2 linked regions of the Oryctolagus cuniculus genome follow. The protein of the gene in region 1 binds, or shares a complex with, the protein of each later gene. Links are inferred from orthologs where the notes say so. Each region holds a gene or a part of one and is shown on either strand. Other genes may lie near its edges.

Region 1 (5,485 bases):
TCTTCCACATGGATGGCAGGGACCGATGTAATGGAGCCATTGACTGTTGCCTCCTGGGGTGCACATTAGTTGGAAGCAGAGGGGGGACTCTATCTCAGGCACTCCAATATGGGATATGGGCATGCCAAGTGTTGGCTTAACCCACTGTGCCACAAGACCTGTTCCCAATGTGGCTGTATTTGAAGACAGGTATTAGGAAGTGACAAAAGTTCAAAGAGGTCGCTAGGGTGGTGTCCTTGTAGGAGGAGACATCATAGTTCCCTCTCTGTGCCATGTGGGGACACAGCAAGAAGGCAGCTGACAGCCGCCAAGTGGGCCCTCACCAGGATGGACGATATCCTACTTGGACTCTCCAGCCTCCAGAACTGTTAGAAAGTAAGTTGTTTATGCAGTCTGTGCATAAATGCCTGCACTTATATTCGGTTTTCTTCATTGTTACAGTTTCTTTGCCTAAAAATCGTGGAGTTACCCTTTACTCCTCCTCTCTCACTTGCCCTAGTAAGTCAGTAAGCAAATCTCACTCGCTCTACCTCCAAAATACATCCAGAATGGCGCCACCTTGTGTCACCCGTACCCTGCCACCCTGGCAGAACCAGCTGTTCCTGTACTCACGACCATGTAAAGGCTACACTGAGCATTGCAGCCGGTGAAGAATGATCACTGAATAGCAAATCAGAGTCATTTCTTCTGCGCAGAATCTCCCAGTGGTTTCCCATCTCAAATCTATTCCCTACAATGGTCTACATAAGTGCTTCTCGAACTTGAACATCGGAAGGACGCGATAACTGAGCCCCACCTCGTCCTCTCTGATTCCGTAAGGGCGGGGATAGGGCGAGGCACTCTGCACCGGCTTTTCCAATCTGAGTTACCCCAGCTTCCGTTTCCTGTCGACACCCCAGGGAGGCCACGCTCTGGACACGGGGCACCTGCTCTTTCCCAGGTCTCCCAGCCACACTGAGCCTCCACATGGTGCGATGCCCTCACTCAGCCTATAGTCTTACACCACTTCAGAGAGGTATTCCGGCATCCTCTGGGCTCCTTTTATTTCAACACTATTTTTTGGTGGCCCACACTGCTTTGTCAGAATTTGTGTTCCAGAAGGTCGAGGCCTTGCGTCCGCTGTCTGTTCTACCCGAGCGGTTTACGGCAGTGACTGCGCGATCACACAGACACTCAGAAAAGACTTCACTGAAGGAATAGCAGAAAGAACCGGAGAGAAGACACCCGGGCAGAGAAAACGTCCTGGGTGCCGGCGCTGAGACGTAGCGGGTAAAGCCAACGTCTTAAGTGCTGGCATCCCATATGGAGGCCAGTTCGAGTCCTGGTTGCTCCACTCCCAATCCAGCTCTCTTGCTATGGCCTGGGAAAGCAGTGGAAGATGACCCAAGTCCTTGGGCCCCCGCACCCGCATGGGAGACCTGGAAAAAGCTCCTGGCTCCTGGTTTCGGATCTGGCCGCTCCAGCAGTTGCGGCCAATTGGGCAGTGAATCAGCGGGTGGAAGACTCTGACTCTCTCTCTGCCTCTCCTTCTCTGTGTAACTCTTTCGAATAACTAAATCTTAAAAAAAAAAAAAAAAAAAAAAAGTCCGAGCATTGGGCTCACACCAGCGCCTGGAAAGCTCTCGGCCGCTGCGCTCGCTCTGCCCTCCCCGCCAACTTGGTCCCCAGAGGCGGGACTTCCCGTCCAGACGTCAGAAGAGCTTCCGGTGTGAGCCGGAAGTTCCTCCGAGAGCTGAAGACGCCGTGGGCAGGCGTTTGGCTGTACCCCAGTGTGTGTGGCAGTCGCTGCCATGGGCAAAAGAGACCGGGCGGACCGCGGTGAGACGTGGGGCGGCCGCACTCGGGCCCCGCCCCCGCCTCTGTGGCGGAGCTGCTTCAGGCTTCGCCGCCAGGCTGTTTCCCGCAGGCCCTGCCGCCGGGCAGGGGAGCTGCGTGGCTGGAGCTCAGCGCAGCTCTCTGCGAACCGGCCGGGTGGGGGGCGGTTGTTTTTAGTGCAGAGTTGGTGGCGCGGGGGGTGATGGCCGCGACCTGGCGCCCTGCAATGTGGTGGAAACCCCAGACTGCTGCGGGGCTCACGCCTGTGTCTGTTTGCAGACAAGAAGAAGTCCAAGAAGCGGCACTACGAGGATGAGGAAGAAGATGACGACGACGCCCCTGGAAACGACTCTCAGGAGGCCGTACCCTCAGCGGCCGGGAAGCAGGTGGACGAGTCGGGCACCAAAGTGGACGAGTACGGGGCCAAAGACTACAGGCTGCAGATGCCTCTCAAGGATGACCACGCTTCCAGGCCCCTCTGGGTGGTAAGCACGCCCTCGGCCGGGACCGGGCTCCGGAGCCTGGAACAGCCGCCGAAGCTTGGGCGTTCTCAGATCCAAAAGTGAGGTGTGGGATTCAGTCTTCCGGACAGCGCGCTCTCTACCTCCCCCCCCCCCCCCCACACCTGCGCACAAGGGCCACACGATCCTGCCTGCAGTTCCTCTACCTCCAGCCCCTCCATTCTCATCCACTCCCCTCTCCTTTTCCCTACCCCATGCCAGGAATTAACGTTGAGCTGCGGGATAAATAGCATGTATTATGTAGCACTTTATTTAGCATGTTTTAGATCAGTTGGAAACCGTGGATCTGGGAGCCAACTTTGGCTCAGCCCAGAGTAGTGAGCGTTCTACCTTCAGTTGAGATCTAACTTAAAAACGGTTCCGTGAGGATAGGCAGTAAGGTTGCATTTCCTTGTGCAGAATCCCCGTGTGAGAAACAGCTGTGGACTTTGGAAACCTTTTCTTCTGTTTTGCTCTCCTTCTGTGTATCTGATTTGAGTAGTAGACCCTACAGTTATTTGGAGGGGGGCTTGCAGGAACGCTTCTGGTGTTAGGCGGCTTGTCCTTCTTTGATAATTATATGGGAGAGAGTCTTAAGAGTCTCTGCAACTCTGGAGTGTCCTGTCATGTGTATTTGATGTTCTTCAGGCTCCTGATGGCCACATCTTCTTGGAAGCCTTCTCTCCAGTTTACAAATATGCCCAAGACTTCCTGGTGGCTATTGCCGAGCCGGTGTGCCGGCCAACCCACGTGCATGAGTACAAGCTAACTGCCTACTCCCTGTATGCAGCTGTCAGCGTTGGGCTGCAAACCAGTGACATCACTGAGTACCTCAGGAAGCTCAGCAAGACTGGAGTCCCCGATGGAATCATGCAGTTTATTAAGGCAAGTAGGGACCGAGGCCAGCCTGCCCTGGGGATGGCGGCACAGTGTGGATAGGTGTTGCTTGTCGTCAGCCTGGGGCAGCCACGGAAGTGTGCCAATCAGATCCCCTGTGGGGAGCGCAGCTGCTGCTTCCCTGGGTCCTGCACTGTGTTGTGGCTGAGGCTGTGTTTTCCCCCAAGCTGCTCTCATCCATGGGAGCTAACAGCATGGGTACCGGTTCAGACTCCTTCTGGCCAGGATTATTTGGGAACACAGCCTAGAGTGGGGTGGTGCTGTGCACTGGGTTGTGGTCTCCCAAAGTTAGCATGTTGAAACCCTAACCCCCAGTGTGGGTTGGAGTGAGAAAGTAATTAAGACTAAAGGAGGCCCTAAGGATGGGGCCTTGATCCAGTGGGATGATTGTCCTTATAAGCACAGATACTGTGAGAGCTCTTCTTCTCTCTCCATGTCATGTGAATTCACAGCAAGAAGACAGCTCCCTACAAAGAGGACCTTTACCACAAACCACATTGGCTGGTACCTTGGTCATAGGCTTCCAGCCTCCAGAACACTGAGAAAATAGATGTTGAAGCCATTCAGTGTGTGGTTTTTGGTTTTGTCAACCCTAGCTGACTAATGCAGGGGCTAAACTCCATCTAAGAATAAATGCTTGCATGAGGCCAGTGGTCAGTGAGCTCCCTTGGGGGAACATCAAAAAGACCTGCAGCTGTTGCAGTAGAGAGGGTTCTGTGTGCACAGTGGTTGGTAGAGGACTAGTGCCATTCTGAAGGTATAGATGATGACTCTGTTGCCTTTGGCTGATCTAAAGGGAGGGTGAATCAGATCCCAAATCAAATGGCAGAAGAGGGCCCCAGACTGCCATGGCCTCTGGCCCCAGAGTAGCTGCCAGGAGCCCTGAAGAGAGTTCTGTCTTATGATGGGCAAGGCCGCCCAGGGAGAGGGGCTTACATCTCACTGGTTTGAGCCAGCTTCGCTCCGTGGCTGCACCCACTCGTGCCTGGGAGCTGCTTGTAGAGATACGTGCATTGGTACAATGCAGTGGTGGGTGGGGGGCAGGGGGAAGGAGCAACAGCCAAGGGTTTGAGTGGTGAGATTTTCATGGCCACCATCACACCTCTGTGGCTTTCTTCATAGAGCTTGTCTGTATTCTCTGCCATCAAGAAGCTTACGTTTTAGTTGGGGAAATAATATGGGCAAGGAGGTCAGATTTATGTTGATTTATGCAACAGTTACCATGTGCCTACTCCATGCCAGCTGTGTACTAGGAGCTGTGGTAATTACTGGTGTGGCAGGATGAGCTCTGGATGAGGGTGACAACTTTGGACATGGTGAGGAAGGGAAGAGAAGATAAAAAGAGGGGCTGGTGCTGTGGTGTGGCGGGTAAAGCTGCCACCTACAGTGCCAGCATCCCAGATGGGCACCGGTTCTAGTCCCAACTGCTCCACTTCCGATTCAGCTCTCTGCTATGGCCTGGGAAAGCAGTGGAGGATGGCCCAAGTGCTTGGGCTCCTGCACCAGTTTTGGAGACCGGGAGGAAGCTCCTGGCTCCTGGCTTCAGATTGGCGCAGCTCCAGCTGTTGTGGCCTTCTGAGGAGTGAACCAGCAGATGGAAAACCTCTCTCTCTCTGTAACTCTGCCTTCTCAAATAAATAAATCTTTTTTTTAAAAAAAGAGAAGATAAAAGAGAGATTTTAAGCTGTTTTAGAAATTAAGGAATGTATGTCAGAATTAGGCAAGAAAGTTTTGCTCTCCAAAAGCACTTTCCAAAAGCAGAAGCTAATGGGGAAAGCTCGATTTAGACAGATCTGGCTCCTTTGGGATTGCACACCGGTTTTTCCTGAAGTAAACTGCACTCTTCACTTGGGCAGTGGACATGCCCAATGGTAACCATGTTCTGAGTGAGCTGCTTGTTGCTGACTTGATTGTTGGTGTTGTGTCTGCTTGCAGCTGTGTACGGTTAGCTATGGGAAGGTCAAGCTGGTCCTGAAGCATAACAGGTAAGAGACTCTGTGACAGCCCCGTTCCGGGCACTTCATCCTCTGCACAGTTTGGGGAAGGGCTGTGGGAAGGAGCCAACCTCTTCTCTGCACCAGTACCTCACTGCCCTGAAGCACAGATAAGAGGAGCAGGACAAGTGTCCCCAGATGGCAGTTTATTCACTGGTCACTGTATTCCCCACAGCAGCAGAGCTGGGGCTCCGTCCCCTGCTTGCTTGACTTCAGAATAGGGCTTTGCCCATAGTCCCCGTAAGTTATGTCATGGCCAGCAGCTCAGAGCTCAGAATA
Region 2 (5,571 bases), on another chromosome or scaffold:
CTAAATGAAAGATTGGAAAACCAGTTAGTTAGAATGGAATCCTTGAGGGTTTCTTAGATGTCAAGCACATGAATCAGAGAAAGGAAGAGACTTGGGTATTAGTAAAGTGCTTAGGTATCGCAGCCATTTAGAAGGCATAAAGAGAGGTCAACTCAGACCCTCTAGGGAGTGTGAAAGTCATAAGGACATTTTTAATCCAGTGAGGGGATTCCAGTATTTCACAAATCAGACCCACTGGCACATACATCTCATTGCCTTAGAGCAGAATCGTTGTGCAGAGCACAAATTTCATAGGTCTACTTCCTTGTCCATCTGCAGTGGTCTCAACCTAAATTGATAACAAAATACCTGACCACTTAGTCAAGTGTATCAGGTGATAGGATAGAAAACTAGGCGGAAGGTGAGGGATCTCAATGAAATTGGGAGTACCTCCAAGGAGGAAACAAAAAGTCCTCTTAAAACACTTTGCAGGGAGAACTACTAAGAGTGATGTTATTTGGGTACATTTTCAGGCTAATTGCCACCTGAATCTTAACTACACAAAAAATGTTGATAGAATCAGTTTCACATAAGCTACTAGGAACACAGATGTCCTGTGATTAATTTTTTCTTTAAGCACTTCCGACCAGGAGCTGTGCAGCGAACTACTAAGCAACAAACTGTGAAGGGCAGATTGGAGTTAGGAGCTAAACCATAGAGCTAAATACACTGTACGCCCTCACCCATTCACATTCCTATTTGCCATCTCCCATTTTCTATTAACGGCCTCTTGCTTTTCTAATCCTTTCCCGGAGCCTGGCAAGGTGCATCTTCCCCCCCCTGGTAGCATGCCTTTGATAAGTCTTCAAACCTGGTTTCACCCACACAACTCTTCTGATATTCTGTTTTGCTTTGCCTTTTGAAGATAAACCCCCTCACTCAAAATTCCCGGGCTAGAGAAAATGAGGTACTGAGGGTTCTGCCTTCGGGACAGCGCACTCTGTTCCGCGTGAGATGTTGACATCAAAGCTGGCTTTGCTTGGGTGAAGCAGGTCAAACGCCTATCGAATGCCCTCCACGACACGGACACATGCTCCCAGCTCTCTCGCAGGGAGAGGCCGTGTTAACTGGTGGGTCAAAGGCTCGTACTTCACGTGTGATTAGTCACTCCAGGCTAGCCACGTGGAGTCATGGCATGTTGGCAACATTTTTAAAACGCCAGGCAAAGTCATCGCTCTTCCATAGTCCAGCGGCTGGAGTTTCGCGCTTTGTCATTTCCATCAGGCTGCGAAGTCATTAAAACCACGCGGGCTAGCGGGGGCCGAAAGTTTGGGGACACTTCGCCCCCAAATCCTTGATACCCAGACTCAGCGTGGGGACAAACAGCTGCGCCGGCTTCGGAGGTTGCTAATTCTGGACCGTGCAGACCGAGGACCCAAATAGACTCCCACCCGCTTTTGAAACAGACTCAGCCCTGCGAGAAGAGGCCCACTCAGACGCGCGCAGCCCCGGGGCCACAAGATGACTCCGCACTTCACACCCTGTCCCGAGCCAGGCGCGCCAGGGGCCCGGAAGCCGCTCCACGTGACCCGCGCTCCTCCTCGGCCGCGCCGAGCGCGGCGGCGGCCACCGCCCCTTTCCCATACCCCAGCTCCCGCAGCGCCGCTCGGCGCGCAGACGTCTGACAGGAGGCGTTCCCAGCTAGCTGAGCCCTCGGGTGTCACTAGAACTCGCGCACCTTTCCCAGCAATGCCTTGCAAGCTCCCGGTCGCAGAGGGCTGCAGGAGACTTCCGCCTGGTTGCCAACCACGTGATCACGCGAGACTTGGGGAGCCGGCGGGCCAACTCCACTACTCCAGTCCCCGGGCTCCGCCCGCCCAGCGCCCTCCTTCGCGCGTAGCGACGCGGCGCGAGGCGGCCTCCGCCCCGGCGCGCCTGCGCACGCGGCTTCTCGCGGTGTCTCGCGCTCCGCCCCGCCCACCTCTGCCCCCGCCCTTTCCGCCCCTCCCTCCCCCTCCGCCCTGTCTCTCGGCGGCGGCGGCGGCGGCTCGCGCAGCTTGTTGGCTCGCTATATAAAGGGGAGAAGCGAGCGGACCGGACGGCTGGAGCTGCAGCCGGTGGCGGCAGCGGCGGCGCGGGGAGCGGTGACCGGTGGTTTCCCTCCTTGGCACGGGGTGGGGAGTGGGCAACGCCCCCCGGACCCCCGAAGGGTCTTGGCGTGTTTTTTTTTTTTAAGGCATTTCTCGAGGTTTTTAGCTTCGGGAGGAGAGAGTGTCCCCTTCCTTCTCCTCTCACCGCTTCCCCCTCTCCCTCAGAATCGATTTTGTTTCCATTTTTTGCCCCAATCTGTGGTGACTTGGGTCGCCCTCCGGGTGGTTTTTCTTTTCTTTTTTTTTTTTCTTTTTGGTTTTGTTTTGACCGTGTTTTCCCGGGGTTACCCCCGTGTTGTTTGTGTTGTGTGTGGAAATGGCGAACTCGGCAAATACAAACACCGTGGTAAGGACGTGGTTCGGTGGCCGGAGGGGGCTTCGTTCAGGCGGCAGCAACGGCCGGACCGGGCGGGGGCGGGGACGGCGGCGATCCCGGCCTCGGCGCTGGAGCCGCCCGCGCGGTCGCCGCCGCCGCCGCTTCCCGCCTCGGGCGGCCCGGGCCGGGGCGGCGGGCGCGGGGGGGGCGCCGAGGGCTCGCGGCGGCGGCGGCGGCGGCGGGGCGGGCGGGGGCGCCGGCGGGGCCTGGGGAGGTCCGGGCCGCGGAGGCCGTTGGGCCCGGGCTGGCGCGCGGCCCCGGCCCCCGGCCCCGGCCTGCGGGCGGGCGGGCGGGCGGCGAGCCGCCGCTTCCCGCGAAGGGGGCCCGTCGGCGCCGGCTCGACCAGGCTCCCCAAGCGGCCTCGGAATCAGATCCGCGGCTGGGGAATTGGGCCAGCTCCCGGGACCCGCCGGGATCCACTTGAACGCAGTGGAAGGCTTAGGGTTACTTGGAGGATTACTTTGGGTTTTTTTGTTTTTTGTTTTTTTCCTGGCGGTTGTGCTTTGGGGACCTTCAATGGGGCCATTTTATGTTAAAAAAAAAAAAAAAAAAACAGACGAAGGTTGAAAAGCACTTATCTCAGTTCCTTCCGAATGGGTAAAATGGCGAAGGGGAAGCAAAACCCCCGTCGTATCTTCAACTAGCAAAAGCACCAGAACAAACCCCAAAAAGCCTCCAGTGGTCAAAGTGCCCCGCTTGCGCCTTGAAATTTGCCTACTTCTTCCCGTGAGTCCCTTTTTGGTTCCTTGCGATCACGTAGGTTTGCAAAAAGCAGTCACATAAATAACCTTTTCAGTCACCAACGCAGTGTGATCACTAGCCCACCCAACTCTTCTTTTTACTACGACAATAAAACACGTTTTTGCCCGGTCCCGAATGCCGCGGACAAACCCGCGGCCGCCCGACACCGTACCGTTGGCGACTCGGGTCGATCCATCATGGCTGCGGCCGCTTACCCTGCTTTTCAGTCCCTGAGCCTTGTGGTCCTCCTCCCTTTGGCTGCCCTGTTTATATAGAGCCATTGCCGCTCTCTAATATAGACTCTGCCAGGATGGGAAGGTGCTTTTCAGGCCTACGTCACCGCCTCTCCATTTAAACACCAGATCCGGCTTTAAATAGTGAGAGCTGCTGAGCGGGGCTGGGAGGTGCGTGCTCCCGAGGCGAGAGGCAGGCGCGTGCGGAGCTCAATTTATTTCTAGGTCCTTTTCTGAGGCTGTAATTTCCCAGCGGACGAGGGCTGCTTTCAGAGCCCCAGTTTTTTGTTTGGATGCGGTAGCTAGGATTTGCTTCCTTTGTTTGGGGAAATGCGCTCTCTTATTGGAGTCCTTTTTTTATGTTAACATTTTTGATATTTTAAAACACGGATGGTTTAGTCGATTTTTGTGTATTGAAAGGTGTGCGTGTTATTGTAGGGAATTTTTTAAATGATTTTGTTGTTGGACTAGAACTTGGTTATGATAGCATGTTGTTCATCAGGTATTCAGGAAATGTTAGCAGTGTTTCATGTTTTACTCTAATGAGGATATGACGCTTCTCAAAGAAACAGCTAAGTTCCTAAAGCCTCAGTTTATCCACATACATTACTGTGTAGGACAATTGTGAGTTACAAGAATGAGGAGACCTACTGCAAACTGGCTTTTAAAATATTAAAGTTCTAAGTAGGTGTTGGTTTATTGCCCTGGATATTAATTTGGTATCCAATATAAAAATGATTCCAATTAATATGCCAGGATTGCAGCAGTACTGATACTTTTGAAAGAAACCTTCGAGTTGATCACTTGACTGGGCCACTAATGACCTTCTAATTTGCCACATTTTGAGCCTGGAATTGTCTTTAAAAATCAGGACAAATATAAATTACTTTTCATTTAGCAAAAAACTTCGCTCAAGTAAAGGATAATTTTTTAAAAATTTGAAAATCACTGATTTCAAATTCCCAAGAACCTTTAATGACATCAGTATTTTGAGGGCTTTTCAAATTGTAAGCAATTTTCCTCTTTAAGCATAGACCTCATAAGGAATACATATTCCCTTCATGCCTCCACTATAGTGATTATGAATACATTAGGTGGCCAAGTGTTGGTTCATTTAAGGCAGAAAAAGAACATCTCAAAGGCATGTTTGATTTGTTCAACAGGGAGGAGTACCAGAAGAAAACAGATTTTTTCCTGTAGACATTTGGGTCTCCAAGAGTTTTAGGGTAACTGACTTTAGAAACATCCGGTTTGCTGAAAAAATAATGTGTATCATCAAATTGAGATTTAAACCACCTACTTAAAATTATGTTGCCTATTTATAATGCCTTGTGGAGTCATTGGTAAAGTACATTTTATAGATATATTTCTATAACTCAGTAGTTAAATTGTTGTAAGCAAGATGATACCCATAGTCAGGTATAGTTTGCTTATATATAGACTCCGAATGTTGAAGGGAGGAAGCATTGTAGAGATGCTCTTTTAACAGATAATATCAAGTTCACATAGGTGGATTTGGCAAAATCAAAAAAGCAAGTTAGTGAGTTGAACAGTAAAGGCAACAGTCTGGATATTTGGGTTGTTTTTCTGGTTGTCATGAAAAGGAATGGATAGTTTCTAATCATTTAGGAAAGTTTTACTGGCAAACTCATTATTTTTGGCTAGGCCAATGACACATTTTCTTAGAGGTTCCTCTGTGATAACAGTGTTACTGGTAGAGAAATTAATGAAACATTTCTTTTTGAGGTTTGCTTTTGCCAGCAAGCCGTTGTTTTTATTAGCCAATAGCTTTTACCTTAAGCAGGATGTAAAACAGGAGTAATTATAAAGCATTTTTAAAAAAACTGTTTACCTTAACGTATGTGATGATGGATAGGATTTATAGTGGGGTAGCTCTTATTATCTGACCTGGAAACTTCCTTTTGTCTAACAGATAAAAAATATATGTACTATGGTAATTGTTCTCCCACCTTTTGTTTTTTAAAAATTAACTTTGATATGTTTGAAAGCGCTTTCTCATTCTATTTGTTTTATTTTAGCAACCTTTGAGAATCTAGCTCCTTCACTGCCTGCCACTACCCCAAATAATACC

What was found. Proteins that work in one complex are often made in the same cells at the same time.
Region 2: ERCC3 (region 1) and GTF2A1 share a complex: the UniProt entries of both Homo sapiens proteins name them as parts of the TBP-based Pol II pre-initiation complex. The link is inferred for Oryctolagus cuniculus from reciprocal best matches to the Homo sapiens genes ERCC3 and GTF2A1.

What each region holds. Positions count from the first base shown.
Region 1 is NC_091434.1:122,282,484-122,287,968, forward strand, and holds the start of ERCC3 (general transcription and DNA repair factor IIH helicase/translocase subunit XPB), read left to right. Parts: upstream 1-1,675; 5' UTR 1,676-1,790; coding exon 1,791-1,818; intron 1,819-2,094; coding exon 2,095-2,300; intron 2,301-2,963; coding exon 2,964-3,200; intron 3,201-5,147; coding exon 5,148-5,197; intron 5,198-5,485. UniProt on the Homo sapiens protein: ATP-dependent 3'-5' DNA helicase/translocase. Binds dsDNA rather than ssDNA, unzipping it in a translocase rather than classical helicase activity. Component of the general transcription and DNA repair factor IIH (TFIIH) core complex.
Region 2 is NC_091451.1:27,054,672-27,060,242, reverse strand, and holds the start of GTF2A1 (transcription initiation factor IIA subunit 1), read left to right. Parts: upstream 1-1,991; 5' UTR 1,992-2,445; coding exon 2,446-2,475; intron 2,476-3,094; exon of another isoform or gene 3,095-3,231; intron 3,232-3,418; exon of another isoform or gene 3,419-3,524; intron 3,525-5,571. UniProt on the Homo sapiens protein: TFIIA is a component of the transcription machinery of RNA polymerase II and plays an important role in transcriptional activation. TFIIA in a complex with TBP mediates transcriptional activity.